Canis lupus familiaris: one gene and its partner. The protein of the gene in region 1 purifies or fractionates together with the protein of each later gene. This does not show direct contact. Links are inferred from orthologs where the notes say so. Each region holds a gene or a part of one and is shown on either strand. Other genes may lie near its edges. The genes, in order: USP37 and BTRC.

Region 1 (3,829 bases):
CCTATTCAATATTTTATCCATTTTTTTCGTTGTTTATGGCAGTAGGATAACCCCAGACCCTGATACTTTCTCATAGTCTGATGTGTAAATTCTCCAAGGTATTCAAAATTGACATCACCAGTGATTAGCACAAGAATATCATGTACCTCTGAATGTGATACCCTTGGAAGGACACAGTATCACTAGGTGTCACTCTGCTTTTCCAGCCTGGACTGAATCTCATCATGAAGAAATAGCAAACCCAACATGAGGAACAGTCCATTAAAAAATAGTTGTGGGGGTAAGGGAGGTTGTATTCTTCAGAAATGGCAGTGTCTCAAAAGAGAAAGCTGAAGATGTATTCCAGATTAAAAAACAACAACAACAACAACTAAATGCATTATGCTATTCTGGATTGAATCTTGTGCTTAAGCACGAGTGTGTATGCTATGAAGAACATTATTGAATCAATTGACAAAATTGGATTAAAGTATGTTAGATAAAGAGTATGTCAGCATTAAATTTTATAATGCTGGTAACTCATTATATAAGAGAATCTTCTTGTTCTTGTGAAATACACACTGAAGTATTTAGGGCTAAAGGGTTATTTATACAACTTACTCTCGCATGGTTCAGGAGAAATACAGAGATGCACCAAATGGTAAAGCATATAGTACAAAAGATTAACAATTGGTGAATAGGGATAAGGAGTATTCTTGTGCAACTGTTCTTGAGAGTTTGGGAATGTTTTCTAATAAAAAAATTTTTTTAAATATGTGCTTTAGGAAAGTGTTTGGCAATACCCATTAAGTCTAAACACATATATCCTATGACCCAGCAGTTCCACTCTGGGCATACACTAAACAGAAATAAGTAAGCTATATCTCAATGGAAAAATTAAAATTATAAATAAGAACAAATAGCTCTTTGGATAAGTCCCCAGTTCTTTTTAGCATTCCTTTGAAAATGTATAATTTTCCTTGTTATAATGCAGTGGTATTCAAAGTATAGTCCCCAGACCAACAGAATCAACATCAGCTGAAATCATGTTAGAAATGCAGTTTTGCACCGTCTCTTTCTAGACCTACGGTTTCTAAGTCAGAAACTGTAGTTGGGGCCCAGGGACCCAGCAATACATATTCTAATAAGTCCTCCATGTGATTCTGATGTGTGTTATACTGGTGATTCCCTATTTTAATGAACATATGTCAGGAACTTCAGTCTTCAAAAGTACTATTTTTTTTTTTCATTTTCAGCTTCTCCAATTTGGGAAATACCTGCTATATGAATGCTATTTTACAATCTCTGTTTTCACTCCAATCATTTGCAAATGACTTGCTTAAGCAAGGTATCCCATGGAAGAAAATTCCCCTCAATGCTCTTATCAGGTAATTGTTAAATTCTTACTAAGAAACCTTTTACCTTATGTGCTATTGTTAACAGTCTTTAAAATATCATGCTAACCAAACTTATGTAAAACATCACTAAACTTTCTTGTTTTAACAGACGCTTTGCACACTTGCTTGTTAAGAAAGATATTTGTAATTCAGAGACCAAAAAAGATTTACTCAAGAAGGTTAAAAATGCCATTTCAGCTACAGCAGAAAGATTCTCTGGTTATATGCAGAATGTGAGTACTAATTGTTTTTAAACACTTTAGAGATAAGGGAAATTAAATGATTTTAATGTATTATCTAATTTCTACTTTAAAATGAGATTTATGTACATGTGTTCATCACAAGTTGAAAAACCTAAGGACTTATAGTAAGATTTAATATGACTCTTCTGTGTGTTTTATCATATTTTAATAATTTGGATACCATTTGCCATTATAGGAACTTGGGCTATTTTAGCTTTTACAAAGGCTATTTTAGAAAAAATACTTTATCTTAAAGGGCTGATTGATTTATTCAGTCATGCCAATCCAATTGGTGGTTAAAAATATAAAATCCGTCATTGTTTTTTTTTTTAATTTTTATTTAAATTCAATTTAGTTAACTTATAGTGTTGTATGTATTAATAACACTATATGTTATATGTGTAATACAGCATACAACACTGTACAATAATATAGCGCATATTAGCTTTAGAGGTAGAATTTAGTGATTCATCAGTTGCAGTGTCATTTGTTCTTATTCACAAATATGTTCCCCCTAATGGCTAGAGTAAATCTGACCTTTTTCACATATGGTGCTGACCTCCAAGAGCTATAGTTGTATAAATCACAGTGTTTGGAAGCTATTCTTGTGACAGAAGGATTTTGATCTTATGATTAAAGATATTGTGCTTTCTTAGGATGCTCATGAATTTTTAAGTCAGTGCTTAGACCAGCTGAAAGAGGACATGGAGAAGTTAAATAAAACTTGGAAGACTGAACCTGTTCCTGGAGAAGAAAATTCACCAGATATTTCAGCCACCAGGGTGTACACTTGCCCTGTTATTACTAACTTGGAGTTTGAAGTTCAGCACTCCATCATCTGTAAAGCGTAAGTAGACTCTAAGAGAGCTCTTTGCCCTTTTAATTCTTTATAGTATGTGATTAAAATTTTTCTAGAAGGTTTTAGTTCTTATCTTCCTTTTTTGTGTTGTAAGGACACAATAAATGCATAGGTTCTACCAAACGTCTCCTTTCAGTGTCCTCATCTTCTATAAAAATGTTTTATAGGGTGAGAACTAAGGAAAACTTGACTGTTTTCTCATGTACTTTATTTTTTTTTTTAATTTTTATTTATTTATGATAGTCACAGAGAGAGAGAGAGAGGCAGAGGCACAGGCAGAGGGAGAAGCAGGCTCCATGCACCGGGAGCCCGACGTGGGATTCGATCCCGGGTCTCCAGGATCGCGCCCTGAGCCAAAGGCAGGCGCTAAACCGCTGCGCCACCCAGGGATCCCTCTCATGTACTTTAGTGCTGACTAAACACTAAATTTTGATCTATAAGTTTGTTCTTATGAGTTTTTTTTTCTTTTAATCTCTGTGTGGAATAATGAGTACTTTGGGAATACTTTTTCCCTGAAAAGACTCTGCTCCTGTTGCTTATTTTATTAAATCAAATTGTTTTTATTAAAAATGGGGTTTTTTTTACAAGATCAAAATTTGTTTTTAACTTTTGCAATCCTTTTTAATTTATTAATGTTTATATTGATTATTTGGACTTTCTATATTTAGTTAATTTCCATGCTCATTACCAAGACTTTTATACCATGCATTTCTTCTTTTTTTTTTTAAAAGATTTTTTTTATTTATTCATGAGAGACACAGAGGCAGAGACATAGGCAGAGAGAGAAGCAGGCTCCCTGCGGGGAACCTGATATGGGACCCGATCCCAGGACCAGGATCACACCCTGAGCCAAAGGCATAGATGCTCAACCGCTCAGCTACCCGGGCGTCCCTATACCATGCATTTCACATCAAAAGGATCTGTTTTGATTAATTTTTCAGTTATTGTACTACATATCTGAAAATGTTTTTCTTAGAATGGAATTCTTCTGTTTAAGAATTATTTTTGTGGCTTTCACATGAGTTAATACAGAATTATTGAATCACATATAGCCTTTCCCCCTTAATATCTTACATACACTGTCTCATCATGTGCTATATTACTTTGTGACATTTGGGAGACCTGATTTTGTGAGTAATCTTTTTCTTCCTGAAAATCTGTGATATTCTTTATTTTTGAAATTCACATTTTCACAAGTTTACATTTAAGTATTTTGTTTAATTTTGCCTTTAACACGATGGAGCTTTCTCATCTGAAAAATTTGGGATTTTCTTCTGCGCAAGAAAACTATTCTCTGAATATTGCTTCTCTTTCATTTATTTTTGAGAAATTTATTTAGAAATACTCAAAAC
Region 2 (3,829 bases), on another chromosome or scaffold:
TTATTTTTTTAAAGTAATTTCTATACCCAACATGGGGCTCAAACTCAAGCCTGAGATTAATCAAGAGTTGTACGTTCTTCTGACTGAACCAGCCAGGTGCCCCCAGTTTTTTTAATTAGCATGTAAGCATTTTTGAGAACTTGCTTTTGTTTCCATTATAGAGAAAAATTGTCCTGAACAATGGGTGAAAAGAGAAAGTGTCATTAGTAACAGAGGTGGACATACTTTGTGAGGGCAGGATATCACTGACACTATGTATCTCATTCTTTTTTTAAGATTTTATTTATTTATTCATAGAGACATAGAGAGAATGAGAGACAGAGACACAGGCAGAGGGAGAAGCAGGCTCCTCACGGGGAGCCCGATGTGGGACTCGACCCCAGGTCTCCAGGGTCACGCCCTGGGCTGAAGGAGGCATTAAACCGCTGAGCCACCCGGGCTACCCCATGTATCTCATTCTTACTGGTGATTTCAGGAAGCATTACTTTTCTTTTCTTGGTCATTTCCTTCACAGGCAACTGGGTACATTGAATTCATCCTTTTTATGCCTTGGAGACCCTGGTTACAGACTTATATAAAGCATTGTGCTTTGAAAATATATATTTCATTTTAACTTAAATCATACATTTTTCTGTCTGAGTTATACAGCAGAAAGGAAATAAATTACATTGAAAGCAATACATTTGGTATGAGTATTGATTGATTTTATTTTTGTGGAATTTTTTGAAGACATATGAAGTGTATTATAACATGCCAAGCTTAGAAAAGAATACATGAAAATTCACTTGACTCAATTTTCTCTTCCAGATTATGGGACATAGAATGTGGTGCATGTTTACGAGTGTTAGAAGGCCACGAGGAACTGGTGCGTTGTATTCGATTTGATAACAAGAGGATAGTCAGTGGGGCCTATGATGGGTGAGTTTGCTAACAGGGTTTAAAAAACAAAATGTACATCTTGATTCCTCCTACCGGAGGATGTTAAATACAGTATTTCCCTGACTCTAAAAGATTATAGATTTTACAGAAAGGATCTGATACAATATTTCTTGTGTCTCATCTATGTATTCCCCTCTCCTTTGTTTACTTTTCTAAGATATTTTTCCCAGTCATTTAATTGCACTTGTTTCCTGGTGATTTTCATTAACAGTTTAGTTATTTAGTTATGCATTCATCTGTTTTGATTCACCTATAAAGCAAAGAACTAGGAAAACACAGTATGCCAGGATATGTGTGTAAAATAATGACTTATTAATAAAACTGAAATATTGGAGGCAGTATCTTTGGGGCATAATGTGGTAGGCTCTTGAATTTGATGTCTTTGAGTAATTCCTAAAAGCGCAGCTCTCTTGTCTTCACTTCTCTTAACATTTTAGTGACAAGTTCAGTAATCTTTATTTTCTTCGGTCTAATTTCCAATGGTTTTAAAATCCATTCATGTTGTGAATGGATCCCATGTCCGGCAATGCTAAGCACATAGTAAACTCACATAAAAGTGTATTTACTTATGAAGGCCTCTTTATTATTTCTTCTTGTCAGGATGCCTGACATGAGGGAGTGGAAGGCTATAGTTCACATCTTGGCAGCTTTTTAAATATTAGAAACTACCTTACTACATTACCTTAGTTTAGGAGCTGGCAGTGATTAAGACAACTCATACAGTAGGAACAGACCATTTTCTCTGCTTTGAGTCATCCATCACTGTTCTACCCTGTGGGAGATTGTTCAGGGTGTGAGAACATACTCCAGTTACATGGTATTTTCTGATTGCCCTGGTTTTTATCTGTACCCACCTTTCTTGGGTTTTGTCTGTTATTTACCTTGAGGAGACATGACCATATGTTTGGTTCTTGGAAGAGCTAAACTTTTCTTATTTTAATCAAAATATGGGAATTTGTATAAACTCCAGAGTATTTCAATGGGCTCTAGTCCTCTGGTTCAGGTTACCTGGGCCATTCTTAGAATTGACCAGAAAGAAGATACTTCACAATTGTAGGTTTCTAGGTCTAAGTGATCTCTTCTATCAGTCTTTAAGAGTCTAATATATAAGATCTCTTCCTGGCCCCAAAGTATGGTATAACTTTACCATTCACTTAAGCTTGGTTAGAGCTAACCTATTTCTCATTTTTAGGTTAAACCTGTACATTTTTCCCCTGTTAAGACCAATAACCTCTACCCAAGAATGAATGCAAAAACCAAGTCTCCAAAACAAAAAAAAGTTCTTATATATTCTTGTGAGCTGCATTTATCATATAAATTACATTCATCAAAAAAAAAATTACATTCATCATACCTATTTATTGCCATGACTTTTTGCTATTTTTCCCATGGTCCCTTAATTTTGCTTTTAATTAAGATTTTTGTCCCCTTTTGGATCTTTAGAAAAATTAAAGTGTGGGATCTTGTAGCTGCTTTGGACCCCCGTGCTCCTGCAGGGACTCTCTGTCTACGGACCCTTGTGGTAAGAACCTTGCTGTTTAGAGGGGGTTGGGGAACAGGAAGGGAAAGAAATGAAACATTGATGTGGTATGGAATACAGATCTGGATTTGATAGTTAGAAGCTCACGAAACCTACTACTAAGTGGAAAGGCAACTAATACATGACAATAAAATATGTTTTTTTAGCGCCTTTCATCCAAAAGTGCTTTAGAGACTATGTATAGAAAGGAATGTGGCAGCTGTTTAACAGCTGCACAGCAACTCTACACCACAGTTTAGTACAGGAAGTGAATAAGGATTCTGTATCCACCAGAAACAGTAGGGGGTACTTAGGGAGAGAGAACATAATTACTCAAATTGGAACCTGTCCAGAAGCTGAGGACCTACACACCTGTGCCTGCAAAAAGTGTCATGGGAGTCTGTGTGAACCCCCGGTCAGCCCCCTGGCTCTGCAGCCTATTCAAGGCATGCTGCCTCCAGCAACATGAATCCCATCTCTTTTATTCCTTGCCATAAACATCTTGACATTTGAGGAAAGAAGTGACTCAAAAGGAAGAAAGTCACCTTTGAAAGTGCTAAATTCTTTATCATGGTGTTCACCAAAGGCCCGGATGAGAAAATGGCCTAAGGTTAAAAGCTGCTGCCATTGGAAAAAGAAAATTAGGTGGGGCACCAGGGAGCACAACTCAGGGTAAAGATGAGAGCTAGCATTTGAAGCCCAGTGTTCTGAATCCTAACTCTCAACATTTGGCAGCCTCTGCTCTGGAGAAGAGAGAGAGAGATGTTTCTTTGTCTTCCTGATTGGATTTAAAGCTCATTGTTGCAGCATCAGACCTACTTTACCTGCATGTTTCAGACATGTTTTTTAAAATGTATACTTTCATTCATTTAAAATTAATCTAAGTCTAAATGAGGTGTAATTTACATACAGCAAAATTTACCCTTTTTCAGTGTGTTTTTCTGAATTTTGCAGTGTGTAAACACCTTGATCGAGATCTAGAACATTTCTAACACCCCAAAAATTATACCGCTTCATAGCACTACCCTCTCCCACACCCCTAGCCACTATTCTGATTTTTGCCATTTTATGAATGTCCTATAAAGTCATACAGTATGTAGCTTTTTGCATTTGGCTTTATTCACTTCATTTGAGAGTCATTCATGTTGTTGCATGTGTTCGTGCTTAGTTCTTTTGTATTGCTGAGTAGTATTCCACTGTGTGAATGAGCCAGTTTGTTTATGCACTTACCAGTTGAAGGACATTTGGAATACTTCCAGTTTAGGGTGATGCTGAAAACATTCCCATACAGGTTTTTGTGTATACATACTGTTTTCATTCCTCTTAGGTAAATACCTAGGAGTGCAGTTTCTGAATCCCATCATAAAAGTG

What was found.
Region 2: the proteins of USP37 (region 1) and BTRC purify together in Homo sapiens (affinity purification with western blotting; 3 studies listed by BioGRID and IntAct, counting the BioPlex papers as one, with this or other methods). This does not show direct contact. The link is inferred for Canis lupus familiaris from reciprocal best matches to the Homo sapiens genes USP37 and BTRC.

What each region holds. Positions count from the first base shown.
Region 1 is NC_049258.1:25,006,022-25,009,850, reverse strand, and holds part of USP37 (ubiquitin carboxyl-terminal hydrolase 37), read left to right. Parts: intron 1-1,235; coding exon 1,236-1,367; intron 1,368-1,485; coding exon 1,486-1,609; intron 1,610-2,274; coding exon 2,275-2,465; intron 2,466-3,829. UniProt on the Homo sapiens protein: Deubiquitinase that plays a role in different processes including cell cycle regulation, DNA replication or DNA damage response.
Region 2 is NC_049249.1:14,342,832-14,346,660, forward strand, and holds part of BTRC (F-box/WD repeat-containing protein 1A), read left to right. Parts: intron 1-807; coding exon 808-918; intron 919-2,382; coding exon 2,383-2,461; intron 2,462-3,829. UniProt on the Homo sapiens protein: Substrate recognition component of a SCF (SKP1-CUL1-F-box protein) E3 ubiquitin-protein ligase complex which mediates the ubiquitination and subsequent proteasomal degradation of target proteins. Recognizes and binds to phosphorylated target proteins.